4 linked regions of the Oreochromis niloticus genome follow. The protein of the gene in region 4 purifies or fractionates together with the protein of the main gene of each other region. This does not show direct contact. Links are inferred from orthologs where the notes say so. Each region holds a gene or a part of one and is shown on either strand. Other genes may lie near its edges.

The links.
Region 1: the proteins of kpna1 (region 4) and smarcd2 purify together in Homo sapiens (affinity purification with mass spectrometry; 3 studies listed by BioGRID and IntAct, with this or other methods). This does not show direct contact. The link is inferred for Oreochromis niloticus from reciprocal best matches to the Homo sapiens genes KPNA1 and SMARCD2.
Region 2: the proteins of kpna1 (region 4) and mta3 purify together in Homo sapiens (affinity purification with mass spectrometry; 3 studies listed by BioGRID and IntAct, with this or other methods). This does not show direct contact. The link is inferred for Oreochromis niloticus from reciprocal best matches to the Homo sapiens genes KPNA1 and MTA3.
Region 3: the proteins of kpna1 (region 4) and tcerg1b purify together in Homo sapiens (co-immunoprecipitation; 3 studies listed by BioGRID and IntAct, with this or other methods). This does not show direct contact. The link is inferred for Oreochromis niloticus from reciprocal best matches to the Homo sapiens genes KPNA1 and TCERG1.

Annotation. Positions count from the first base shown.
Region 1 is NC_031973.2:15,815,145-15,822,951, forward strand, and holds the start of smarcd2 (SWI/SNF-related matrix-associated actin-dependent regulator of chromatin subfamily D member 2), read right to left. Parts: upstream 3,002-7,807; 5' UTR 2,558-3,001; coding exon 2,405-2,557; intron 12-2,404; coding exon 1-11. Other genes in the region: atxn7l3b (ataxin-7-like protein 3), read right to left, coding at 5,513-5,592, 7,669-7,714. UniProt on the Homo sapiens protein: Involved in transcriptional activation and repression of select genes by chromatin remodeling (alteration of DNA-nucleosome topology).
Region 2 is NC_031973.2:10,590,045-10,596,997, forward strand, and holds the start of mta3 (metastasis-associated protein MTA3), read right to left. Parts: upstream 3,020-6,953; 5' UTR 2,902-3,019; intron 2,896-2,901; exon of another isoform or gene 2,724-2,895; 5' UTR 2,695-2,723; coding exon 2,667-2,694; intron 782-2,666; coding exon 714-781; intron 1-713. Other genes in the region: kcng3 (potassium voltage-gated channel subfamily G member 3), read left to right, coding at 4,584-5,200, 6,698-6,953. UniProt on the Homo sapiens protein: Acts as a component of the histone deacetylase NuRD complex which participates in the remodeling of chromatin.
Region 3 is NC_031975.2:18,538,928-18,545,799, reverse strand, and holds the start of tcerg1b (transcription elongation regulator 1), read right to left. Parts: upstream 3,021-6,872; 5' UTR 2,925-3,020; coding exon 2,878-2,924; intron 1,498-2,877; coding exon 1,266-1,497; intron 1-1,265. Other genes in the region: sox30 (lymphoid enhancer-binding factor 1), read right to left, coding at 4,826-5,066, 6,042-6,294, 6,401-6,640. UniProt on the Homo sapiens protein: Transcription factor that binds RNA polymerase II and inhibits the elongation of transcripts from target promoters. Regulates transcription elongation in a TATA box-dependent manner.
Region 4 is NC_031974.2:18,423,220-18,430,413, reverse strand, and holds the start of kpna1 (importin subunit alpha-5), read right to left. Parts: upstream 3,010-7,194; 5' UTR 2,894-3,009; intron 2,262-2,893; 5' UTR 2,254-2,261; coding exon 2,128-2,253; intron 1,980-2,127; coding exon 1,866-1,979; intron 850-1,865; coding exon 750-849; intron 464-749; coding exon 369-463; intron 186-368; coding exon 54-185; intron 1-53. Other genes in the region: nanos2 (nanos homolog 1), read left to right, coding at 4,215-4,820. UniProt on the Homo sapiens protein: Functions in nuclear protein import as an adapter protein for nuclear receptor KPNB1. Binds specifically and directly to substrates containing either a simple or bipartite NLS motif.

The sequences.
Region 1 (7,807 bases), on a different chromosome or scaffold from region 4:
ATCCCGGGGCGCTAGAGAAAAAGAGGGAAACTGATTTCACGGAACGATTTCTCCATATCTACACAAAAAGTTGAATATTTCATTTAGGACTAAAAGAAATCAAGGATCTGATTTACTAAAGAGACAGAAAAAAGTACCCATTTTAAAATAATAATAATAATAAAACCAATGATGTGTTAAGCTGTGTGCACATAAATTTCATATTGTATGATCAACTTATATCAAATTCTAGCTTTTTGGATCTGGTGAGTAAAAAGAGTGCACAGTGACATACAGTATAGTCACTTACACTGTATGCTTTTGGTTGTACCATAAATATTATGAGTCATAATAGCCCCATTAAAAACATGCCAAAAACGTAAATGCACTGTTTCTGCAGGTGGGGTTAAGTTTTTAAGTTCTATGGTTTAATTATGAAGTTGTGCATATAAAAACTGTTATGGCACTGCAGTCTTTATCTCCATCTACACAAAGCACAACCTCTTTCAACTTAAAGGTTTCACGTATCAGGATATAATGAAAAGAAATCTGGTTCTTAGCATGCTTTAAAATTTGCTAAATATAACCTTGGATGAAATACAACACATGACATATTACACTGTGTTTTTATTTATTGTTAAACAAAAAAAATAAATAGAAATGCAGAAGCAGTAAAGTAACAGCCAGATGCTGCTAATGCACTTCATCAATTTATTAGTTTCAGGAAGTGTGAACACCTCTGTAACAGCAGAGGTTTTGACAGTTTGCTGGTTTGGAGGATTCAGGTGTGTTAACACGAACACATCAGCGATAGTCCTTGAGAAGCAACTGCTGCCCATCAATCTGGAAAGCCTTATAAGGTAATTTCCAAACAATATGAATCCATCTGTCTACAGTGAGAACTATTATCCACAAATGGAAAGCATTCAAGACAGTTGCCAATCTTCCCAGGAGTGAACGTCCCAGTAAATTCACTCCAAGTTCAAACTTTGCAAGAGCTACTTCTCAGGCCTCAGTTAGCATGCTAAATGTTAAAGTTCATGGCAGCACAATTAGAAAAAAACTAAACAAGTATGGCTTGTTTGGACGGGCTTCCAGAATAAAGGCTCTCACATTTGAACAAACCACAAAACCTCTGGAGCAATGTCCTTTGGACAAGTGAGACCAAACTGGGGATATTTGGCCATAATGCTCAGCACTACATTTGGTGAAAACTAAACACAGCATAACAGCACAAACACCTCATACCAGCTGTCAAGCGCGGTGATGAAGTCAAATGCGAGGCCATATACTTGACAGCTAAAACTCGAGTGTAATGATCACAAGCACACAAACAAATCTACAACAGAACAGCTCAAGAAGAAAAGAATCAACGTGGTGTAATCACACAATCAAAGTCCTCAACCCGCGTAAAATGCTTTGGCAGGATCTTAAGAGAGCTGCACATAAACAAATGCCTGCAAATGCCAATGAACTGAAGCAATGTTGTAAAGAAGAGTGCACCAAAATTCCTCCTGTGAAGGGCTGATAAAGTCATACAGAAAAGGATTACTTCACACTGTTGCTGCTAAAAGCAGTTGAACAAGCTCCTGAATCTTGAGGCGTGCTTAGTTTTTCACACACTGCTTCTGCATTTCGGCTCAGGTTTTGTTATATAAATAATAACCCAGTGTGATGTGTTGTGCTTTGTTACACATCTGAGGGTGTATTTATTTTAAGACCTGTTACTGACTAGATTTTTTTTCTTTTTAATTATGTCTTTTTATGTAACACATCAGTACTGTAAATAATGTATCAACAAATTGTGAGAATTCTCACACTTTGTCCAGTTTGTAAACATTAAAAAAAAGTCTAAACCCAAATGGCTCCAACTGTCAAAACGGGGGTAACTGCGATGGTGTCTGTTAACTACGGGAGAAGCTGCAGATGGTGACAATACTGGCACGATGTATGCAGGCTTGCCTCTGGGCAGATGGGGCTGATAAACTTTTGCTTTCACGCTAACTGACAGGAGGCGAAGCGGGCAACCACGTGATTTTCTTTTTCACACGCGCACAAAACGCTAAACGATATCAATTTGAATTAAACGTCCCACTACTTTTATGTACCACTTCAAATGCCATAAAAGAAAAAAGGTTACACTTAATGATTGCGGTAATCAATAAATAATTACACCCACTTCGAAGGCGGAAGTAGTGTCCACACGGTGATATATATGAAGAATAATGAGCTTTATGGGGTTTTTTTTTTTATTTCCATGTCTCTCGGGTGAGTATTTCAATTAGATAATTTTATTTAAACACCAATTTAAGGCTCCAAAGTAACGAAAGGCTTAAAAAGACATGGGGGTGATCGGACAAATACCGTCACCCTCACCTTTCACTCAGTTTCTTTATTTGACACGGAGAAATCAAGCAGAACCAACCTGGGGGTATTGGGGAACGCTGCTCATGCTTCTGGGATATCCCCCCGGAGGCTGGGGCATTCCTTGCATCCTCATGCCCGCGGCATGCCCAACATTCATGGGGCTCATACTCGAATTCATCGGAGGACCAGTGAAGCTTCCCCTCGATGCCATCTTCTAGAGCCACAAGTGGTTAAAAGTGACGGAAACTTCAAACCAAATTCGGCCCAAATAAAAGTGCGGCAGGCTGAAGTCTCCAAGTAGGTAGCTAACTAACTCCGGGTACTTCTGCTTAGGTCGGTTTCTGGTTTGACAGCAAGCACACTGTCAACAAAAAGCTAGCTAACGTTAGCTCACTTCCTACCGTTTCAAGTTCCGGGATTTGCTTCTACCTAGTGACTGCTCGTTTTGTGAACACGCCAAGTGGGAGCTCTTGTCATCTCCCACTCGCGCCTTTACGACTGAACGACGCCAGATAAACGATAACTAAAAGCTAATACACTGTGAGGCGAATTAAAAACATGATAACGTCTGACTTATGACAAACTGAGTATCTTGAGCAGATAGTTTGTCTGCACTCTAAAGCAAAACCAAGTACGCTCAACTACATGTTGCGTTCACAAACATCGGAAATTAGGAAGTTCCAAATTTCAGCGCGCAATAATCTCGATTTTTTTTTTCTTTTTGAACACGTTAAAACACATGCTAGTCTGAAGTCTTTATTTCTTGTGTATTTTGTAAAAGTATATATTTTCAATTATATTTTATTTTCAACGCTTGATTTCAAATGTGACATACAGAAACTTGCGATAGATTTTGTAATAGTGTAATTTTGTTTCTTCCAAACCAAATCCTGGAGTAATACTCTGCCTCCTGAACACTAATTTTTCTTAAACAGTAATGTGCTGAATCTAGAAGTGTTGAAACGTATAGAAACATACAGGGAAATACAGGATAAAAGAAAAACGGAGGCTGTACAATTTTAGGGAGCTTGAAAGCCAATATTTGGTATGACTACATTTATTCATCAGCACAACACGAACTCTCTTAAGCAAGCTTAAATACTCTTCAGGAATAGTTCTCCAGTCTTCTTAGGGGACATTCAAAGCTCTTCTTTGTTTGGGATCACCTTCCTGCTAAAAAATTATGTCACTGCCAGTCAGACACTTTTCAGATTGCATTGCATGGTGGATCTAAATATGACGCTACTTTCCCATTCATTTTTAAAAGATCCCCTACACCATTGACTGAAACACAGCCCCAAACCTCCAGAGAGCCTCCACCATATTATACAGATGACTGTAGACACCCACTGTTCTACCCTCTACCCTGACGTCCTCTGTAGAGTCCAATTCTTGTGAAGTTTTGCATACCTCAGCCATTTCTCCCCATTTCCCTTCCTTAATAATGGCTTGTTGATAGCCAACCTTCCACTGAGGCTATTTCTGATGAGTCTTCAGTAAACAGTACATAGATCCTCTGTCAGTTTTTGTGGATTTTTTCTGTTTACTGTTCATCTGTTGTAGATATTTGTTTTAGGCTTGGCATTTTTTTTATCCTCTATTTGTCAAGTTTCTCCAAATTCTTGCACACAATACCAAATTATTCCAAGTCTTCAGCTAGTAGCTCTTTAGAAATCAGCTTGTTGCTATAACACACTCAAACTGTGTTATCTTTGGATTTTTTTGTCTAAAAAAGTGCCACTTTAAAACTGGTCCTGTGCTAAGTTATCTGGTATGTGCAGAAATAAAACTACTTCCTCCCTTGAGTTAAATGCCCCCTTTTATGCTTGAATTTAAAGAAAAAAAAACAAAACATTCTCCTGAAAATGGTCAGGTACATTGACTGAATATGAATAGGAGTGAAAAAGCAGCCCACGTCCAAAGAAAAACTTGGAAAGACTTTCAGAAAGCCTTGAGAACTATTGCTCATCAAAATCTTTTAACCTATGGGCTACATTAATGCCTGTACTGCAGAGTTTAGGAAGGCTACACAAAAACATTATCAGCTCCCCCTTGGTACAATAAACTCTGAATAAGAAGCTTGAACTGTATGAACACGGCTGTGTTTACAACATGACAGTTTTCTAAGAAAATGACCTATAACCACACTAACCAAGGCAATATTTAGGCCCACATCCAGCAACAGAAGCATGTGTACATCATCTGATCAACAGCACCCCCTGTTGGTCGGTAAGACATTAATTCTATGTACTTGGTTGCTGTTTTATACATTCACACTTTTGTTAAAATGAATGTGAAAACACAGGACAGATAACAAATCATTTATTTTGCTAGACAGATGAAACAAACTGAGCCATGATAGCAGCAATTCAACTATTAGAATATTTACACTATCACATCACACCAAGGACATATGTAACCCTTTACAATGTAAACACATGATACAAAGACATATTTCAATGCTAGAAAACAAGCAACTCTATCCACCAAAAAAAAAAAGAAAAATGAAGAAACCTGCTTTCTGCACCAAATACCTGCTTCTACACTTCAGGAGTTCATGTCCTGAACATTGTGAAACAAGTTTCCACAGGTGAACGACAGATGCTTGTCTTTTAATTCTGTTTGAGAAATTCAGACAGTGAAAGGTGAAAATAAAAGACAAACCATTAGCAATGATTGTCTTTGACATTATTATTTTTTTTTCAAAGATTGAGATTGTAAAATGTGAGGTAATATAAGGACATCCACTGTGTAATCATTTCTGTATTTTATGAAAAGAAACAAAATAATACTGTAAGCATACACCGTCTCTGAATGAATTACACCAAAGTTTACATCTGTGCAGTGAAATCATATTTGGTGAAAAGTATCAGTCGAAAATGATAACTACAGAAAATTTTCTTTTTAAAAAACAAAACAAAAAACAAAACAAAACAAGTGTTGGTACAATGATTTTCTGAATAAAAATAAATTTGTCAAGTATAAGGTTGGGAGCTCTGGACTGCTTCTGCAGAGCAGCAAACACCACAAACGTTGCCTTTAACCATCAACGTCCATTCATTTCACAACATAAAGAACCAAAGGTGAAGTGTTGTTGGTCATCCCGTGAGCGTGTCTCTGTGTGCATCTCCGCACACATGATAGTGAGAGAATGTTTGTGTTTGTGTTATTGTGAGAATGCCTCATCTTTCATCAGCATGCGCGGGCTCTCCTGGTTGTCCATGCGACGTCTGGGACCCATCATGCCTAGAGGAACAGACGCGCCATTTATTTATTCATGCTTCAATCCAGACACATAATTGATTTCAACTGGTGTTTAGTGTCTCAATCACTACACTATTACTGGTTCTAAATTATATGTGCACCAGACAATTTATTAGGTACATGTTCAACTGCTCATTAAGGCAGATATCTAACCAGCCAATCACATGGCAGCAACTACATGCATTTAGATATGTAGAGATGCTCAAGACAGCCAGCTGAAATTAAAATTGAGCCTCAGAATAGGGAAAAAAGACGATTTAAGTGCGGTTTAAAGAAAACAGAAAATATCTAATGAGCAGCAGTCGTATGGGTGAAAATGCCTCATTGACGCCAGACATCTGGAGTATGCTAATAACCACAATACAGTTAAGGTTCGCAGAAGAGCATCTCTGAACGCACATGTTTAGCCTCGAAGCAGACAGGACACAGTGGCAGAAGACCACAGCGGATGCCCTTCCTGTCAGCTAAGAACAGGAACCTAAGACACATTTCCTGACCAAATTTGGACAATAAAAGGTTGGAAAAGCATTGCCTGGTATGATGAGGCTTAGTTTTTGCTGCAACATGCGTAAAAAAAACAAGAAAGCATTGATCCATTCTGCCTTGTCTCAACTGTTCAGACTTCTGGTGTCAGTGTAAGAGTGTGGGAAATATCTTCTTGGCACACTTTGGCCGATATCAATGTGGACCAGAATCTCTGAGGAATGTTTCCAGCAGTGCGTTGAACCTGTGCCATGAAACATGAGGGCAGTTCTGTGCACAAATGGGGTTCCAACCCAGCACAAGAAAGATGTATCTAATAAAGTGGCCAGTAAGAGTATTTTGAATAATTTTTATAATATGCTAGCAGAAATTTGTAAGTTTTTTTTAATATGTCTTTTTAGTTGTAGACTGGGGGTAGCTGTAGCTCAGGTGCTAGAGCAGGTCAGCTGCTAACTGGAAGGTTGGTGGTTTGATCCCAGTCTGCTCCAGTCTGCATGCCAAATATCCTCGGGCAAGATACTAACCCAACATAGTTCCCTACAACACCCATCAGAGTGTGAATGTGTATGAATGTTAGATAGGGAGCACTTAACAGCTTAGAAAAAGTGCTTGGGTGTGATTGGGTGAATGTACAAGTTGTATAAAGCGCTTTGAATGCTCAGAGTAGAGAACCAGTCCATTTACCATAAACAAAGGTTTAACTGACAGATCAAGGGAGAAAAACCTTATGTTGCTACACTGTGAACTTTCTGAATTCTACAGAACAAAACGTTCTACCGCATACTTTGGTGTGGTAGAAATCTTATAAAGTCATGGATGTGACAAATATAGAGAAAGCAAAACAGGATACCTTTATAGCCACCACAGTCTGAAGCCAAACACCTTTAACACTTCATTATGTGACCAAATATATGGTTATGGTTTCCTGTTGAATTACGCTCATTAATAGTGGCTAATAAAATCAGCTGACGTTAACACGTCCTTGACATTTGGGACAATAAAATTCACCACTTCATTTCATTCTATTAGACATAGATTATTAGGGCATGTTGTGTCTAAAGGAGGAATTCTTGTGTAATTTTGCCCTTGAAATCACTTTCGTGAGCATACAGGTGGAAGAAGGAGCTACTTTTGGCTGCTCCCTTATTTATAAAGGGTCGCCACAGCGGGCAGCTCTGTATGCTTGGCTTGGCAGATTTCTTTTTTCTTTTTGATGCAACCTCAAAGGGATTTGTGTCTCCTCCTGCAATCGGGCTGAGGATTTCTCATTTGTTAGGCGAATTTGTAAACCACTACAGTATGGACTGTACTGACAGATAGGCGTAACCTGGAAACATAATACCTCCAGCCAGACCAATATAAGGACAGAATAAAACTTTTTTTTTTATAAATATACTGTAATGTGAAAATGATTCTACATGCTGATTCACTCTGGTATCCACTATTATAAAGTGATCTGTGGGTAATTTAACTAATAGTATACATATGACAGCATATAGCAAAGCTGCACTGTTTTAAGAGCTGATTACATACAGACAAACTCAAGCAGGAAGTTAAAATCTTATTTTCACTTACTGTTCTTATGCTTGAATGATTTGGATCTTCTTGGCGAGTTTGGATTCTGAGGTGGAAAGACAAAATATTTTACTTTTGAGTTTTATACGCAGACGAATGCTGGGGGTAGTAAAACAGCGATGCCCAACATGTTTGTTTA
Region 2 (6,953 bases), on a different chromosome or scaffold from region 4:
ACAAAAATGTCCATCGTGCTTGATCAAGCACTCCATTTCACCTTTACCAACATGATGAGCTTCATACAGCTTGTATTTGCAGAAGCACAGCTTTATTAAATGGTATCATGCTGCAGGGACTTCCTGTTACTTCATCATTTATGATAATTACGATGTCTCCTGTCTTTAGATTATAACATTGAGCCTCAGTACGCTCTTTCAGGATGATAATGATGTGATCTGGCATTATTCCACCCACACAATCTGATAATGACCTGCATTTATCAGAATATCTCAGTGCAAGCATGACACAGGAAAAGCTTTTACACACCTATTAACGATGCTTGTGAAGGATTTCGAACAAAATAAAATGGGAATTACGGTAAAATGCTGAGAGAAAAAAAGAGAGACCAACAACACTGCTGTTGAAGGTTGGTATCAGCTTATAATTAAAATAAATCTGCATCTTTAGCCCAAAGCTACATGAGCTTGTGAAATGTTGATAATAATCACTCCACCCACACACACACACACACACACACAGGTGTGTCAAGTCATACTAATGACAGTTGGTAGATCAGGGAACACCTGTCTTTTCAAGCCATATTACAAACAACGTCACAAAATCCACACAAACAATGGGAAAGCGATGGGGTGGGGACAGGAGCAGAGAGGAATTCAAGGAATTCTCTAACATAACCACACATGAAAATGAAAAACGCACACATCAGTACCTTATTGAGTTCTTCTATCCGACGGATCAGGTAAGGGTTACTGGAGGAGTTCTCAAAGAATACGTAATCTGCAACAGGAAACACGCACATCTTATATTTAAATATATACACCGCATGAACTAATACATTGGCACTACAGTAGGTCAAATCAATAGATATGCATATCCTTTAATCAATAAATGTGGAAACTTGTGACTTTCAGAAAGTGTTGCACAAGAAAAGTTAAAAGGAAAAATCTCTAGTCAACAACAACCAAGTTATAGACGAATAAAAGTGCAAAATTATTATAGTCTTTCAAACTGTAGCCATATGTTACCATACTGTTTCAGTTTGTATGAAAAAATAAATTAAAGACAATAAAAACTTCAATATAGCATTTTCTAAAAGAAAGATTCCCCATGCATATAAATAACATCACCAGATGCCAGTATAGCTTTCTGGGTTTGAGCAGATGACCTATATGCCGTAAGGCTAATGCAGAAGCACTGGTTTGAATCCCCCTGTCTCTCCTCCAGCTTATGCGTCTTCTCGACACTGCAAGGTTCCAACAAATGGGACAAATAAAATAAATGTAACAATATCCCTATTTTTTTTTTTTTTAAATTAGAAGCTTGCCCACCAACTTTGCACAACTTCAGTCCATGGCAAATGCTGCATTCACACAGAGTCTGTAATATTTCAATTCACATGTTCCAGACTTTTAAACGGTGCAGCAGCATATTTGTCAGGGTTGTCAAAATATATATGACTTCATGCATGTCATTAGAGTCTATGTATCATCATGCTAATGTGTATGACAGCCCTTAGCCTCTGGGACGGGAATGTGCTGCACCTCAGTCTTGCAATGCTGTTATAAAATAAATATATCAATTTTTAAGAAAATAAATTAATAAACTACATATCCCATCTATTTTGTTTGCAATGTAGCAGCAAAACAAGACTTGTTCCATCGCGGGAGAAAACTGTACTTGAATGCACCTGGAAGTTTGTGTGTCCTACCTACAAGTTCATGGAGTTTACAATGAGCACCTGAAAGCGGCAGGAGAAGTTGCACTAAAGGTGACGTGAGGGGACAATAAACTGATGCACCTCGAAAATACCGGTTATAAAGTGTTGCAAGACATGTCATTAGACGCCTATAGTTTGTGTGGCATGTCAAGCATTAATGCAATTAGGCTACGTGGCCGTCTGTGTATGGATTTAAAGCTCAAGTATGCGTGAATAAAGGTGTAAAAGCAGACACAGCGACGCCATGCGCGGAGACAATAATTTGATGTTGAATTCCAGTAGACTGCTAACGAGCTAGCTAGCAAATCAGCCAGCCTGCATCCCTATTTGATAATTAATTGCACTTGTGGTTACTGTAGGTGGTCACTTTGGCAAAACACTTTAGCACCTGATGTTACCGAGACGGTTAAATACGATCCTTAAATGCAGCAAACGAGCGCTGAGACGGCATTAATGGTAATCAGTGAAGCCATCGCTGGTGCTAACGTTAGCTAAATAAGGTCTCGTACTAATGGCTGCATGCCAGGAGTGGCAAATACAAAGGCAGCCTCAGACTGCCCGTGGTAGCATGTTAACAACCTTTGAAACACACGTCTAGTCGTGAGGTCTATCCGTGTAGAAGCCCCCTGTATCCCGTGGTCTAAGAATTCAGAAACCCGGAGAGCAGCAAACAAGTGAAAAATGTTTACATTGCCAGCTAACCATTTAGCAAGCTGTCTGCTAGCTGCTGTGGCCACGACAGACGCGAGGCCTGACCCATTTTGAATCTCAAATATACACCAACTCTCACCTTCCTGCTTCAACTTAACGCGTCCACGTTGCTGTACCACATCCGCATCTCCACCATTAAATGCAAACGGCTCAAAATACCACAAAATAACGCCCAGGAGCTGCAAAACTGTAACGGTTTCTCTTTGATAAAAAGATCCACATTGACATACATACCTCCGACCCGGTACATGTTGGCCGCCATTTCTGCCCTCCCAGTGTGCAAACCATAAACTAAGAGAAATGGAATAAATTAATAAAAACAATAAAAGTCACTCTCTTTGAAGGGAAAAGGAGCGACAAATTAAGATCGTCGGAACTCCGGATGTGTAACCTATCGGGAGAATTGTGGCAATTCAACCCCCCCCTCCTCCTTCGAGTCACAGCACCCTTTATGATACAGTTAACTCACGGCAGCCAAAAGAAGTCGGATCAACCCGAAAAACCACTGCTGACGCTGGAGGGGCCCGCGCACGCGCAGCACAGCCACACGCGGCCCACACGCGCAGACACTTACAGCCCACCTCAGAAAACACCCAAGAAAGCAGTTTGTACATTTTTTTTTTTTTTTAATTTTTATATCTGTAAAGCCAAAAGTTTAAACTTTAATCTAATCATTGAAACTGAGTCTCTCTAAAATTCCTAACAAATCAGAAAGGGCTCTAAAACTTAAGAGGAACATGAAGAAGTCTCAGTGTTATTATTATTATTATTATCATTATTATTATCATTATTATTATTTTCTTTTATGCATCGTTACATGATCCACCTTGACCAGAGAGGACAGAAGGCGTCATTTCTAATTCTAATAACTTTAAAGTAAGAGAAGCAAGGCTTAGATAGCTTGGAGGGATATACTGTGATATATTAGGAAAAGGATGTTAAAGATGTACCTGGCAGGCAGTAGTAAAAGAAAAAGAGTTCAGAGAAGATTTATGGCTGTAGTGAAGAAAGATATGCAGAGGGTTGGTGTAATAGTGACATAGTGAGATGATGGCAGATAATGCTGTGGCGATATCCGAAAGAAGAAGAAGATTCAGTATATGATTATGTTTTGTATACTTGATGTAGACATCCATCCATCCATCCATCCATCCATCCATCCATCCCCTTTCGCTTATCCTTATCAGGCAGGCAGAGGCAGGGTACACCCTGGTTCGTCAGTCTGTCGCACGGCTAACACATTGATGTAGATATTTTTTTTATATATATTTTGCTATCAAATGAGCTGGTATAGAATATTTGCATTGCTAAGTTAAAATAATTACTATGTTCTTTATGTTTGTTCGAAACAAATAGATAAATAAATAAAGCTGCACAAAAAATAAAAATAATACTAAAAAAGCTTTATTTATATAATGATAATACTAACAATAATAACATTAATAAATTATACGTGTGTGCATATATTTCTCTTGCTATTTATTTTTTTTTCCATTATACTTATCTTAACATAATGTACCTTTTGTTGCACAAGTCAGAGCTGGTGTATATAGGTATCTCTATCTAGCTTAATTAAATGATATAAAATGGTCTACATTTTAATAATGGTGCGGGCATATTAATCACAAGCTTCACATCTATTTTTTGTCAGTGTAACAGGGAATATTACAGTGAGACGTAATTAAGCTTTCTTAAACAAGACTTTTCCTCCCCGGTTTTCATCAAGTTTGACGATAATTTCTCATCAACCTGCTTCCAGAAGAATCTAAACAGTATTTTATAGGAAGAAGCAGTCTCCACTGTGGACTTAAATCACATATTACGTTCTATACTCCTGTTGCTTATGGATTTTTCTCTGCGTGCGTCCGCGCGCGCGCGCTTGTGACATCACTGATGGGATTGGCTGGAGCTGACTGGGGGGATGAGTCTCTTCTTCAGGCTACAGAGGGAGACGGAGAATAGAGTCAGGGACAGAGGGAAGAGTTTCCACTTAGCAGGCACGGACCTCAGCGCAGGGCCACCTTCACTCAAAGCGAACCACGCCCCGGGGCAGGGGAGACGAGTTCCCCAAGTGCCCAAACTCCTGCGATGGAAGGAAAAATGGACTGTGAAGAGGAGTTCTCTTAGGCTTTGAGGATTTAAGTTGTCAAAATGAAGTTCGGGAAGAGCATCTGCGTGCTTAACGTCGGGGGAACCCGGTACGCCTTCACCCGTGAGGTGATCAGGGATTTCCCTCTTCGACGCGTCAGCCGCCTGATTGCCTGCGCAACCGAGAAAGAGGTCCTCGAACTCTGCGATGACTACGATCGGGACCGGAATGAGTTTTTCTTCGACCGCCACGCTCAGGCTTTCGTGTTTATTATGTTGTACGTGCGCTCCGGCAAACTCCGATTTGTTCCCGGAGTGTGTGAGCTGTCCTTCTACACAGAGATGCTCTACTGGGGACTGGAGAGCGCGCACTTGGACTCCTGCTGCCAGAAACGCCTGGACGATAGGATGTCCGACATCGGACTGGACACACTCTCTGAGGGGGACATCGAGGATGAGCCCCAGAGCCCAGGGGAGTCAGTGCAAGAGGCTGAGCTCACATGTCGCGCTAGGTGGCTCGAGAAAATGCGCAAGGCTTTTGAGGAGCCCAACTCTTCCCTTGTAGCGCAGCTTTTGGCTTCAGTGTCCGTGATCTTTGTTATCGTTTCTATGATTATGCTGTGCGCTAGCACCCTGCCGGATTGGGATACAGCCAAGAGAACTACTGTGGAGGAGCACAGGTAGGCGATAGTCAAGGGTCAGTTAACTTGAAGGAATAGAAGCCCCCTCATGAAAATGCTGCCAAATGTTTAGGCGCAATGTGTGCGGATATCCTACAACTGAGACTGTCTTGCGTAAAAGTGAACTGAACAGATGGAATCGTGTCAAATATTTGATTCTGTCATCACAAGTAGCATAAATAAATAAATATACCTCTTAACATTTGATCATGCATGCGTTCAAGGCAACGGCCAAAGTCATTGCGCACTAATATTAATCAGGAGGTGGATGCATTGAGATGTTTTCTACCTCAGCTTTTTGAGTGTTTTCTAGGATGTTTGCTATAATAACATAAAAATAAGAATGACAGCAAAGCAAGATATTTAAAACATCCATGTATTACATTGGCTGCTGGGGATTTGTTCTTGTGCTTTCTTGAATTGATGCCCCTGAAGTCAGTATGCCCGCTGACAAGTTTCAGGCAGCACATTACACCTTAGCCGGACACATTACACCTGTGCCGGACAGGCCCCCAAGGAAGCAAATCAATAACCAATCCATAGCTTTCCCCTCTTATTTCTCCCACCCTCTTCACAGTTAGTCTGAATATGTTTACTGCCCTGCTTAGTTTACACTGCATTGCGCACATGAAGGGCAAACATAAGGTAATCATAGATTCATAATATTTGAGTGGGCAATGAGATAAAAGTAGAATGTGTACTGGGGGGGATTATATAATAGTGCAGGCAAACAAAGAAATTAGGCCACTTACAGGAATCATCATAAGTCAGAGTTTTGTTTTTTTTAACTTAAGCATGTAGGCGCAAGGTGAAAACGTGTATCTCTATGTCTGTGTGATTTTGCCCTGTACTTTCCTGGAAGCCTGAGCTGGCCATTCTCTATATAAGGTTAGGTTATGCTCCCTCAGGCTGGACATAGTTTTGAGTTTTGGATCAGCTACAGTGGTTAAGTAATCAACTACAAGTGGCTTGTATACTCTGAGGTCAAAAGGATTCCAATGTAGTTTCATGTCATTAGATGATGCAGTTCTCTCAGTTGCTACATAATTTGGGTTGGTGTAACTATTCTGATAGTTGCTTTGCAGGTATTTTAGTAATTTCTGGGCTTCTCTGCATTTATATCTAATGCAAGAATCATCATTCTCTAATTCATTTTGACTGGCCTTGCTCTGCTTGTCAATGGGGTAATTGCGTGACCGTCTTTGACACAGTCTTTCTTTGAAGGGTTTAAACCCTCCCTCTGTGCAGTTTCCCGGCAATTTACTAGCCCGTGTATCTGTCCTGCTGTCTTTGTTTACTTGTGCCAGGCCTGAACTGCGACAGCTTTGTTCCTTATTTCCCATCATTTAACTCCCCTTGCTTTGCTTCCTTCTTCCTCACATTTACTGACTGCCAGGCAGTATTTCATATTTCATGCCATCCATATCTCACTGTACCTCCTCTGTCATTTCCTGTTTACAGTGTGTGCAACTAATTTTTCTTCTATCTTCTCTGTAGGATAGTGGAGGCAGTGTGTATTGGCTGGTTCACGGCAGAGTGCATAGTGCGCTTTCTGGTGGCCAAAGACAAGTGGGACTTCCTCCGCAGGCCACTCAACATCATCGACGTGATTGCCATCACCCCCTACTATGTCACTATGGCAATGGCCCGGGCAGGGATGCCAGGTGCTGGGCTCGGGGTTGCTGGAGTCATACTGCGGGTCCTGAGGATGATGAGAGTGTTCTGGCTCATGAAGCTGGCCAGACACTTCCTG
Region 3 (6,872 bases), on a different chromosome or scaffold from region 4:
TAAATGTGAGCACGTCACCAGAATAGGGTTGTCGCAATATAAGAATTTTAAACTCGATACCAAAACCCATGACAATACTTGATACCATTTCTGATACCATGAGGAAGATTTTAAACCCATCCTACATCACCAGAATAAATGGCGAAGTCGTCATATCTCAAAAAAGTTAACTTGTACTCACTGTGAAAGACCTCACAGCTGGCTACATGAAATAAAGAAACATATTTTTAAAAAATTATTGTAAAAGTAGAAAAGTTAGTTTATTATCTAGTTCACATCTGCCTGCAGCCTCGCTCTCATCCAGCATGTACACTGCTCCAACTCAGCCTGCAGATCTTCACCTCCCCACCTCTGCGTTAAGAATTGAAACCGCCTGATTCCTGCTCCAGATTTCAGTCTTTATTTGCTCGGATTAGTTCACCACATTTCCCTTTCTGCTTAGCTCAACTACGGTTCACTCCCTGCTCTGTACAGCCAGGAACCTGCCAGGTTTTCTGTTTCTCCATAACCACCTCTGCCATGGCTAAGTATTCGATCAGCCACTCGTTCAACCTGCAATAATTATTCATCCTTTTTCTAACTACAGTCCGTTAGCCAACACGTTACTAATAACAGACAGCTAACAAGGCTATTGGGTAACTGCCAATAGTTAAACAGCTAATGTTAATGTGTGCACTGGTCGGGTTAACATTTTTATCTAGTGGAGATATCATCTGAATTTCAGGAGCGGGACCACTCCTCCTTCACGCCCCCCCAGCCTCAGGCTATAAAAGCCCCCCTTCTCCAATACCTGCTGTTCTCATTTTCATGCCCCACCCTTCCCCCCCATTTTTCCCTCTCTTCCTTTCCTTCATTCATTTATTGTTAGTACATGGGGATCTGCCCAGCTCGGGAGCCATCGCCAGTCCCCTTCGAGGCCTTCCCCAAACCGCAGCACCAGTTCACACTTCCTCATCCCTCATCATTACCGAGGATGTGGTCCCAGCTAGTGAATTTAATACTTTCATGCTGTTGAAACAGGAGCTTTACTAACCTTAAAAATTCCTCTTAAAGTGTTGTTCAGTGTTATGAACGTTAACTACTACAGCTGTGACAGGAGGAGCCATGTGAAGTTGTGTGTCATGAAGGAAGGAAAGACAGGACTGTTGGTATCAATATTGTTGAAAATGAGTATCGAGTATTGATTTTTTTAACAACCCTACACCACAAGAAGGTAACATTTCCATGATGAAAACCATGCTTGTAAAAGAATGTGGGGCAGTTACCTGTAGGTGGGGAGGCCCAATAGGTGGAGGCATCCCTCCTGGTGGAGGGATTGGTGGCATGCTGGGGTCGAAGGGTGGACGTGCAAACGGAGGTCGCGGCGGAGGTCCCCTCATCATCCCAAAAGGAGGCGGTGGTGGCCTAAGGAGTGGTGGTGGGCCTCTTAACACTGGGGTCTGTGTAGGCGCAGGCGCAGGGGCAGGGCCACGAAACCGCACCGCCTGCTGCGCCATTCTGGCACAACATAATAAAAGTTATAGTTAAAGCTTATGATAAATACTAACATGACACTAAACTGTAAATAAAGCCTTTGAAAAGAGTGCAGAAAGCAATTATCAGCTTAATTATTAAATATACAGTACAATGACAAATTATCCTTCACAATACAAAAATAAATTACACTATAAAAGTAATAACATCGGTAATATCATATTAACATCTTAACATTGTAATTTTACAATGGAGGAAGCTGCAGTATAAGCCAGGAATGGTTAGCAATGAATACAAACACTTTCTGCTGACTAATGTGAGACTTGCTGCAGAAATGGGCCAGCAAACAGGAGCGGAAGAAGTACTCAGACCTATTATCAAAGTCAAAGTAGCAATAGCACAACTTAAAAGCACTCTAATAAGAAGTAGAAGTTTTGTGTTACGTCGCAACAATTTAATGCTGGCTAAATGTTCAAAGATGCTATGATAGAAATGAAAGATTTCTCTGGTTCTCTGACACAAAAAATAAACAAGTATATATAAGTAAATAAAAAATAAACTCTGGGCCATTGCCCATCACCTAAACTGCCATTTTAATCATGAATTTGCCTTCACAATCAGTGTATCGCTAAAGTACCCATCAGACACCAACATGAGCTCTGTTGTATGCTGCACTTGTGAACTGTTATTACTGATGCATAAACATACTGCTCGCTTTTCTAACCAGCTGACTGGTTGGTGTAACTATGTCTCTCAGATTCATGTTCCTTATTACAAATACCTTAGGATTCTACTTAAGGACATCATTTAGCGTAAATTTACTTAATTGCTATGCAAGGCTGTTTGAAGACGGTGTGACGTGGACAGGTTGTCCATTCAGACTCTGTGGTGTTTATATTACCTCATGTCTACATGCTGAACCCTTCAGGGTTATACCCGCTTGGCCGTAGATGAACACAAACATTCAGCAAATGTCGTCTTGTGATAATCGGGCTAACATCAACCTTTTTTCTGTCTATTTAAAACAGCTACTTTCCAATCACTTTAGCATATTTTTGCTAGCTGGTTATAATTGATAACAACCGCCACGTTTGAGCCCAAGCACAAAGCCTGGTGATTCGGGTGGCCTTCCGTGAGAGGTAAACATCTGTCTGTTTAATCTGTCTGGCCCATGTTTACCGCGTGCCGGGGAGCGGAGAGCAGAAATCGAGCCGCTCTTCAACACGGGGGCTAGTTAGCTGGAAGCTAGTTAGCTGGCGTGGCTACATTGACATGCACGAGCGCCACATATCAACACCATTGAACCAAAAGCAACGCAGACTAGCTGCATATTAAATGTCCGCAAATGCTTCATATTACCCTCGGTTAATAATCATTTTAACGCTTTACTCGCTGTTATCTGACCTGCTGTCGTTGAACCCGATAGTCTCGCTCTCTGCCTGGTCCGCCATTACAGGAAAATGTAACCGCTCTCTTCCTGGAAACGCCCCTTAGCGGTGACTACTTTTCCTATTCGCCAGGCGCGGACCTCAGTCACGATACAGTTAGAGCTGCGTGGACTGTGATTGGATATTGTCTTTCTTGCGAACGTTCAGTAAAGTGTTCATTGGTCCGTTTGGGTCCCATTTTTCATGATGTCTTTGTTCAGTCGGTACTCCGTGCTGTTGATAATAAGGCGGATTCTAATCACTGGCGATTTGCACATACTCCACTTGTGTTTTGGTGTCCGCGTTTTGTTTGATTTACACCTGTTGAGAAGGCATTCCGCTACTTAAAAGAAGTGGCAGTACACCATATAGTGGAAACGCCCTGCGCTTACTGGAAGGCCTTCATTCTGAAATGTAGTCACAAACCTAAAAGTCAAGTGCATGATATCATCTTAAAATCACTAGTAAATATTATCAACATCTTTTTACGGCCAGTGATTTTCCCTGTTTGTCTCACATGTGCTGTTATCACTCCATTGGATCCATTGGTAATTAATAATTATCAGCCCTATCATTATTTGCTCAGCAAAATTTTTTTTTTAGAAATAACTGAATGAAGACCTTTCATCTCACAGTATTAATAAGTGCCAATCAGGTTTCAGAACCAGAAACAGCTCTTACTAAAGTTATCAACCTGACCTGAAGATCAATATAGTGCTTGGTTGGTTTAAGGTTGGTCAGGTTCTCGACTGGTTGTCGTCATACCCTAAAGGGTAAAGGTTTTTATGTTTCAGTGAGTAGTTTTAGAGCTGCCGAATGAAACCAGGTGTTTCTCAAGGGTCAATTCTGGGTCTACACATCCCAAACCAGTCAGGAAAGATGATTGCCCCTCCTTGATCCTGCTTCTGCTGGAGGTTTCTTCCTGTTAGAAGGGAGTTTTTCTTTCTTACTGTTGCCAAGTGCTTGCTCATAGAGGGGTCTGATTGTTGTGGTTTTCTCTGTATTATTGTAGGGTCTTGACCTTATAATATAGAGCACCTTGAAGCAAATGCTTTTGTGATTTGGTGCCTCAAGGCACTTTCAAAAACTGTGAAATCATATAAAACAATATATCAATCAGGTTATGACTATATTGCTCTATTTGCAGGATCACCCGAATCATCAGTGGGCCTTACACACACACACACACACACACACACACACACACACACACACACACACACACACACACACACACACACACACACACAGAGAGAAATTTTACCATATTACTGCAATACTGAAGCCACTTCACTGGCTCTCAATGTAGAATTACCTTTAAAATACTTCTATTACTTCATAAAGCAGCTTTCAGTGGTTTGGCTCCCCTCACAACATCTCTAATTTGATCATTGTCTATAACCTGATTAGACTTCTCAGGCTATCGTGTGCAGAGCTTTTAACTGTTTCCAGAATCACATCCAGGTATGCCAAGAGGGCTTTCAGTTACTGTGGTCCCATTCTTTGGAACAAGCTGCCTGTGTGACTGTTAACATTATTTTTTTGTAAAGTGGTTTTACTTTTATTATTTGGAATGCCTTAAGACATTGTAGTTTTTATCTTCTATGTTCATGTAATGAAATAGGTATATAAATAAAATTGCACATGAAATGTTTCAAGAAGAATTGCTGATTTACTAATTGCAGCAGATTACACTGTTGTTTGAAGCATGTGTGCAGTCAACATCATTCATCCTGTGTGTTTCTGGCATTAGTTTACATCAGTAGCAATGAAAAAGCACAATTTCTTTTAGTGTTGTGGACTGCTCTAAATACATGACAACAGCTAAACAAAAAGTAGAATTAAAATGAATAAACTATTAATATATGAAAAATGTATATTTGATTTGCTCAAATGCAAATCAGCCAGTGTTTGCTGAACATCTCCTAGAGCAGTCCAACCACATCAATGTCCTCCTCAGATTTGTTCGCCTCGTTTCTGTTTGAAGACAGCTGCTGATTGGTGATGACGCTGGGCTGTGTGTGGCTCTCTAATGTGAATGAACCACTGAGGACTTTCTGAGTGCTGTTAGGCTGCTGTGCTGTTTCCCCGCTGAGGAAGGCTGGAACAATCTGGCCTGTCTGCAGGTAAATGCAGTGGTGATCCCTCCCTTCTTCCATGAAGCTCCTTGAATTTGGACATATATAGAAAAGCCATATATAAAAACACGGAAAGGTAATTATTAGAAAATGTGACAGTGAAATAAAATGTCCAGTAGCTGCCTACTATGAGAAACTTTACATTCTGTTAAAGCACTAATATTACATTTATGCACCATCTATTGCCAAAAGAGCCCTGACCTGTCCAGAGCAATGATAACGGACCTGCTGGGTGTCCTGGGGTGTCTGGATGAGTAACACTAACTGTGAGTTGAGGATGCATGCAGCTTGTTTGCAAGCAGCTTTTACACACACTACCATTGTCTCTTGCTAGGATGGTAAAAGTGGTGACTGGTTTGGGTGAGTGTGCTTGATCAGGTTGGGCTATGGGGAGTTGCTACATGTCAAAGTAACATTCAGATAGACGCCAGGCATCAAACTTCATCTGTCCATGCATCTTTTGTTGTGGCTGCTTGGTTTAACACTAATGTACAATATGTTGATTAAAAATAAATAAATTCCCTGACATAGGAACTCCTGACTGATATAAGACTTAATCAAGTTCAAAGCCTATAGTGCTGAAAAATGAGGGCAAAAGTTAAAAAAAAAAATGCATTTCCTTTAGTGGCAACTAGGGGTTGCTTCCAAAAGCAAGTTGATGGCCATAGACAGCCATGTTAAAATATCCAACTAAGCAACATTAAAAAGCATATTTACAGCCTTATAGAAAAACTGGCTTAAGGATCGATTTGTGGGAATTTTTTGATAACTCAGGATACAGGAGTTAGAGGCATGGTCGCTTTGATTGACAGGCCTGCTGCCATGATTAACGATTTCCACGTGTCTCCGAGCTCTCAACTCAATAAATGGTGTCACTGAATTGTGGACCTCTCTGTGACGTTTATGCTGTTGGTGTACTGCCGCAAGATTAATGTGTTTGTGAGCTATGTAGCACTTAAAAGTCTGAGTTTTCTGTGTCATGAAAGTGTCTCTCTCTCTTTACCTGGCTAAATCAATATGGTAACTTAGACTGGACACATAGGGGACAGGTAGTAGGTAGTAGGGATTATAGTGCACTGGGGCCAATGAAGATATGATGGGGACCGGCCACGTGGGCTGAGCTGAACACAGTGTTGTCTTTTCTTGTGGGGAAAAGAAGGAAACACTAGACTGGTGCTGCCCCCCGTCCTGTCTAACTTCCCTCACTGGGGTGAAATTTTCTCTGCGCATCCTCTTTCTGGGTTGATACTCGTAATCTGGCATGATGAAACAAAGACAAGAGTCAGTGTTAATGGAAAACAGATCCACCTTTACTCTGCAATAAATGTTTACTATCATGTATATAGGGTTTTTGCTTCATACCAGGAAATTGGTGACTATGGATGTTTTTCAGTTTCTGAGCCACTTGAAAGTATGGCTCCTGCTGTTCCTTGCTAAGCTTGGACCACTCCAACCCGAGCTGAATGTTAATGTTTTTAATACTGGCTCTTGTCATGGTTTTCTGCAGGACCTTGCGGTGTATGTGAGCCCACACCATGAAAGCATTCAGTGGCCGTTTAATGTATCCAGTTGCGTCTCTGCCAGTCTGCATTTGCTTTATGTCTGTGGGAGACAAAAATGTTGTGCAACTATATTACTGACAATTTTTGTTAATTTTCTCTTGAATTTTTTATAAATATTTTTAGAATGTTTTTTTAATCATGTAATTAAAATACAAGGCAGTAAAAACTAGCATAAAGGAGGAATCGGATGTTACTTTTCAGTGAAAAATCAAAAAAAGGATTTTGAAAGACAGTTTTTAAATTTTCAATGAGCTACAAAGTCAGTATTTGGT
Region 4 (7,194 bases):
AAGCTGCCAGAGGTCAGTGAACACCAGGAAAGGTAAAAATGAAGCCTCCTCACCTGTTCCTGTACGTCCTCAAAATCCGAGCTGAGCATCTCTATGAATATGGGCACAGCTCCTGCCTGGATTACCACCCGTGTCTGGTGAGATGTACCTGAAGCAATGTTGGTCAATACCCACGCAGCCTCAAACTACAATCATATTCAAAACATATGAAGAAAGTTAGTGCACTGAACTCACAACACATGCAACCTTTCAGATATGATGGTGAAACAGGAAGAACACGTTGCAAACAAACATGAGGGAGAAAAAACAAAAACAAAAATCTACAAGCTTCAAATAAAATCTAATATTAGTTTTCTAGGAAAACGTACCTGCAATGTGCAGTTTTCTCTTCTTTTCAGGAACTCAACAAAGCGCTCCACCACCCCTGGAGTGGCAATGACTTCATCAATAGGTGGGTTGGGTTCTGCGTGTGAGGTGACGTGGCAACAATTAATACAGGCATACTTAACAGCATTACACCCCATGTAACATTCACTCCGGCCACTCTGATATTGTGTAGTTATGAATTTTAGCAGGAATGCTTTGGCAGCGGTAAACTGTGAGATAGAGTGGCAGATTATGCAGCTCAAAAAAATGCTTTTGTCCTTGCATTGGGCCTCAATCAGTTATCATCTTTCCCTTGTAAGACATACTGAAACAAATACAAAGACAGGAGTGGCTGTAATGGGCAAAGCTAGGGCCCCACTTACCTTTAGAAAGTAGTTTCCTAAAGCGCTGAGTACCTATTAGCTGCTGCTCAGGAGAGCTGGAGAAAATCATCTGAATCATGTCTTCAGAGATCACCCCACCCTGTGTGGCACAACAATGGGGATTTTATATAACACATATGAATTGCTGTAACAGCTGACTTGATGTGTGCAGTGAGTGATGACATCTCATATGCCTGGATATCAGGAATCTTCTTGGTACAATGAGTTTTGTCAGTTGACGAAACTCGGGGGGGGGGGGGGGGGGGGGGGGGGTAACCACACTTTTGAATGTTTCATTTTCATTTTTGCCACTTGGAGCAGGGAGTCTGCTCAGTGGTGCTGAGAAAGCTGTAGCTCACTCCTCACATGTGCAATAACACTAAGTGCAATAATCTTCCTGGCATCGTTGTATTTTTTACTCAGTTGTATATAGCATTTGTATTCTATTTTTATCTTATTGTATATTTTATTCTATTTTATTCTACTGTATATAGTATTTTATTTTATTCTATTCTGTACAGTTGTGTACTGTATTTATTCTTATTTTATTTTATTCTAATTTTTGCTTCATAACTTTTGCACTGTCCACTTCCTGCTGTGACAAAACAAATTTCCCACATGTGGGACTAATAAAGGTTATCTTATCTTATCTTATCTTATCTTAAACATGCTTAGAGACAGTGCCCTAACTGATTAGAACTAAATGCATCACAGAGGAATTTATGCAAATTACAGTTACTAACATGCTTACAGACAGTGCCCTAACTGATTAGAACTAAATGCATCACAGAGGAATTTATGCAAATTACAGTTTGTGTGCTAAAATGTAACTTTGCATACAACATTGTGGTCTGGTGAGGCGAGAAACACACTGCACTGTGTACGAAAGATTCAACATGCTATTTGTGTGGTTTGCTATGTGTCAATGTCACTGCATACATTAAAATTTGTGTTGTTTTGAACATGACACAGAAAAGCTCCTCTACAGCCTCCATGAGTTTTACAGAAAAATGACCCAAGTAATCATTTAGACATAAAACCAACATGTTTAGATGCCATCTGATTACCAGAAAGGCGTGTATGTGTGACAGAGCAGACATATGAATGCCTTCTCACCATGAGTGGGTCCATGTTGTTGGCCTGGGACTCCAGATAGCCGCTATCAGCCATCCCATCCTCGTCCAGGGTGCCATCATCCTCCACAGTGGCGACATTTCTCCTCTTAAAAAGCTGCAACAGAAGTACAAATAGGCATTTCCCTTCCAACACTAAATTGCTGCAAACAAAGCATGGCCTCAAGTTTACTCCAAACACTGGCAGTATGTAATTTCAGGATCATTATGACGGTTTTAGTTGTACAGTATAACACATTGCTTACTTGCTCATCCTTCTTCTGTTTACGGAGCTGCAGGCCTTCCTCTTCCCTCCTCCTTCTCATCTCATCTGTGTTGAGAGACTTATTCTTGTAGCTTTTGAGGCGTGCATTGTCCTTGCCCTGACTCATTGTGCAGCCTGAGAAGAGTCAGAAGTCTATTATTTGGATATGCTTTGGAGCAAATCTTTCAAAGTTCCCAAATGAGAAACAACAAACCCTCCTGTTTTTTTTTCATATTTTTTTTTATTAAACACCACCAACTGTACTGCAAAGACTAGCAAGACAGACACCAACTAACGTAGCCAACGCTGGCATAGCTACCGGTGTGCATCATTCCTCTCAAAAAAGATTGTTCAACAAACAGGGTCATGTAAGGATAGCAGCTAGCCTATTAGCTTCCCGTGCCTTGATGCTGCGTGAAAAGAAAGCATCATTTTACCACCTACTGATCGGGGTCCAGTACTTCCGTTGTCAACTCACAACTCGGACAAGCACAAGGAAAACCCAAAAGCACAAGTCCCCCGGGAGGGTACACTTGGTCAGCTGGCTAATGTCAACGCCGCTCTTAGCCTCCTCTACTATCGAAAGCTAGCTGGCAGCCAGCGGCTAACTGCTGTAGCTAACGTTAGCTTAGTACCAAAATCCATTACATTAACTTTAGCGCAAACGACAGACCACCGTCTGAGACAGTAAGAATTCATTTAACTTCTCATTATGAATCGCTGCCACACATACACAGCTAAAATGTAAACGTTTTTCGTTATCTAACCTGTCAGATTGGGCTCCGTAATCCCCTTATTCGCTAGGCCACCGTTTGAACAGCCGTCGCCGGTATACTAGTGCGCATGCGTCCAACTAAACGCAAACGACCCACAACTCCCCCGCACGTATCTAAGCTCCGCCCCCTCCTACGCCTCTTTTTCCCCCCCTCTTCTTTTTGCTTTGTAAATTAACAGAAATGCGACGTTTGCTTCATAAACAGTTTGACAAACAAGCGGTGGCTGCAGGGTTACATTCATGGTATAACCGGCATACACACAGCCTCACTACGTGTGTGATTGTGCAGGAAATACAACTGTGCGCTCTTCGAAAATCCATCTATCCATTTATCCTCATCACTCACCTCTATGTATGTGCTCTCTATAAGTGCAGGTGCGGCTCTTGGATGCGACACTTCTCTAATGTAGTCTAGACGCTCCGGCGCCAGGGGTCATCGGGGGACACACACACAAACAACAAGTAACACAACATGGACCATCATCATCCTCAGACACACACACGGCCCACGAGCATCAGCACCATCAGATACGAGCACATTAGAAGTACGAATAATAATAAAACTGTAAACAAGTGACAAAATAAGAAAAGAAAGGGAAAAAAGAAAAAAAACGCAAATACATGCAAAACTAAGGGAAAGAAGAGAGATTTGAACTTAACAGATTAAATCACATAATTCACTTTGAATTTAATCTATCTATCTATCTATCTATCTATCTATCTATCTATCTTCATACAATTAAACACTGTGTGCGCGCGCGTGTTTGTGTGTGAGAGAAAGAGCGAGAGGGGATGAGAGGATAAAGGCCAACGCACTGCGACAGAAAAAAAGAAATGCATGAACTTTGCGTGACCCAACTATACCAAAACAGTTCACCTATTACGAGCCTTTAAAGTAAGCTTATTGTTAAATAGTCTTGATACATATTCAATCATCCAGGTAAGGTAATCCCAGAAAGTTGATTCTGTTCACCTGGACGTAGCGTTTTCAGTGCTAAATAGTCTCCACATCCCGGCTCTTATTATTTATTTTGCTGCGTTATTTTGCGAAATTATCTAATCTAAACATAAACTACAAAAAATGAATGCGATGCAATATTTTGCTCTTGGTGTTTTCAGTCCTTTATGTCCAGCTTATGCGTCATTTTTCTGTTATCAATCAACCAACCGATCATTCGATTAAAGGCCTGTCAACTGGCTTCGTAAAGGTTCTTAAGAGGTCCTAAGGTCACCAGAAAGCTACATAAAAGACTGCACCTGCACCAAAGTTCTTTTTTCTCTCTCTCTGCCTCCAAAAAACGTCGTCAGGCTGCATGCAATCTATAGGATCCAAACATTGTTACATTTTAAAACCAACTTCAGTGAGCTATAAATATGAGGCGCTCCAAACACACCCTCCCTTTGACTTCTGCCAAAAAATGACCACAATGCCGAGACGACTGGAGGTCCAGAGCTCGATCCTCCCCGGTGGGGACTGCTTTAACATGTGGCAGGACTACATGAATCTGAGCCAAGTGTTCGAGAGACTGTGCAGCAACCGTGAGGTTGAAAACCGAGACACCGAGCGTCCAAAGAAGGGACAAGCGCCCCCCTGGAGTAAGGTCCACACTTCCACTCGGGGGAAGAAATCCTCCAAAAACTCATCGCAGTCCAGTCCGACCAGCAGCGCGTCGGACACCAGCAGCAGCGCGTCATCCTCGGACTACTGCCGCTTCTGCAAGCAGAACGGGGAGACTCCGAGGGTGTACCGATCTCACAAGCTCAAATCAGACGACGGGAAAGTTTTCTGCCCCATCCTCCGGAACTACACCTGCCCTATCTGCGAAGCCACCGGTGACAGCGCTCACACACGCAGGTACTGCCCGCAGATGAAGTGGGAGGCGGCTGGGAGGATGGAGACAGGGGCCAAGTTCTGGTAGCTGTTGAAAACTGCGAGAAACTGTACATATTTACCGAACTGTTTGGGGTATGTGTTCATGTTGGCAGAGACCGTTTCAGTTCCAAAGACTGTTTCATGTTTGACTGTCAAACACTCCGCTACAATCTGCAGCAAGGAGCCCTCATCCATCACATCTGGAGCCACGAGCCGGAGCGCTCTCGCTCGCCAGTACGCGCAGGCTCAACGGGAGAAAACTGCGCCAGCTTTGGGGGTGTCCCAAGTTCTGGTAGCTGCTGAAAACTGAAGCTGAGAGAAACTGTACATATTTACCGAACTGTTTGGGGTGTGTGTTCATGTTAGCAGAGACCGTTTCAGTTCCAAAAACTGTTTCATGTTTGACTGTCAAACACTCCGCTGCAGTCTGCAGCAAGGAGCCCTCATCCATCACATCTGTGGAGCCCCGAGCCGGGGTGAGCGCTCTCAAACCTTGGAAAAAATTAAAGTCTTTAAAGTCCTCCAGTGTTGTTGTTGTTTAATATGATACAAAAAAGAATAAGTGAAATGAAGTGAAGTCACTCTATCAGCATTAGCGAGTTTATAGTAATTTAAAAAACAAACCAACAGCATAAAAATGTAAATTCTGGGAAAAATATCTAAAAAAAAAAAAAAAGCTTTCCTCTTATTGATTATGAACTTTTCGGTTTGTTTGCAGCCATCACATACACGTTTTTCTCTTAACATATAAAACATAAAAATATCACAAAGCAGTGTTCAAACTAATTCAAGTGATGTTTATGGGATTTCATAACTCAGGAGTCGTGGTGTTCATAAAAGAGCAACGTGCTTTGATCGGGCAATAAACCGCCTCTGCAGAACTGGTGCATAAACACGGGGCCCTTTTAAAGAGAGAAATATCTTATATCACTAGATTATTCAACTACATTGCCGCTTTAATGGGCTGTTCAAAGGGTGCAGGGGGTAGGAGGTCATTTTGAGGTATTTCATAGGTCACAAGTGAAACACTAAAGTGGCTAACCTTTCTGTGGAATTACAGAGATTTCTAAAAATGTGCCCTTAGTGTCAGTACATTGTTAATGAAAAAGAATAAGATAAAAGACACATGCAGCCAAAGGCGAATTTAGAGCCCTTTCTTTTGGTTAAAATGAAAATGCTATATTATCCCTCATGTCAGACAGGTTATTCTACAAAAACATCAGTAGTTTGTCTGTTTTTGGTATTATAGGAAATTTGAACTCTCAACTCTTCCAGCTGAAGTTACAGATGTAACTGAACTCACCAGAGAACATGTGTCATAAAAAATAATTAAATTAAATTAAAAGTAAAACTTCAAGGCAATAATGAAACGATTGTGTGAAGTGAGAAACTGAATTAAAGTTCAATAGTTTTAGTTTCAAAATAGATGGAAATACAGGATTTAAGGTCAAAACAGAGTTTTTACAATTCTAATGAGCGTCAAAGTCATAATTTAGAATGATCACCTTCATGCTTGAGTTTTCTTTGAAGAATAGGCGGTCACTCCTCTTAGGGGTTTGCTGTTATGTTTGGACACAACACTGGTTCAGCCCTTGTGTTACGTACTTTCAAAAAAATGCTTAAGTGAATCATATGTCAAAGCTAAGTGGCTTAACAAACAACAAAAGAGTCGTTTGAAAATGTTCAGGTACAAGAACTGGACTGAAAATGAATGAAAAAGCAGCCAATGTCCAGAAAAAAACTTATATATTAAGCTTATAAAATACAACAAAGTCTGGCTCCATGAAAGGGAAATATTAAGAAATGAGTGGTCACTCAAGACGCTTGCACAGTGGTGTATATCAAGACAAATACTTTAACATACATTTAAATATGCATTATAAAGCCTACATTTCTAAATATAAGCTTATCTGAATACAATTCCAGAACATAAATCTGAACATTGAGTGTTACACAGTATATTGCAGGCTTTGAATAATATGTGAACAAACTTTTCCATAAAAACTGTAAACCCCCCCCCCACAACAAACGGCCTTTAAATATGACATTACATACATATTTACTGGAAACCTTTTCTGATTGGTTTAAAAAAAATATGCAAATGTGGAAATGAGAATATCACAATAACTATAAACTAATTTGTGCATGTGCAAAAAGACAAAGAGTAGTAAAATAAACAGCTGAATGTATGTTTTGGATGTTATCTTTCTAAAAGAAGACATGGTCATGAGCTGATCATGTAAAAAAAAACTTGCCTGTGGCGTCCCGACTTATATCGCCTGTTTTTTTCCTTAAGAATCCATAAAAAAAACAATGTTGGATATTAATTTCCAAATGGAAATGTATGGAAAAAGTGCAGTAAACCTACTTCCACTGTCTTTAAATAATCCACAGATGTATAAAAATATGTCCTAAAGAAC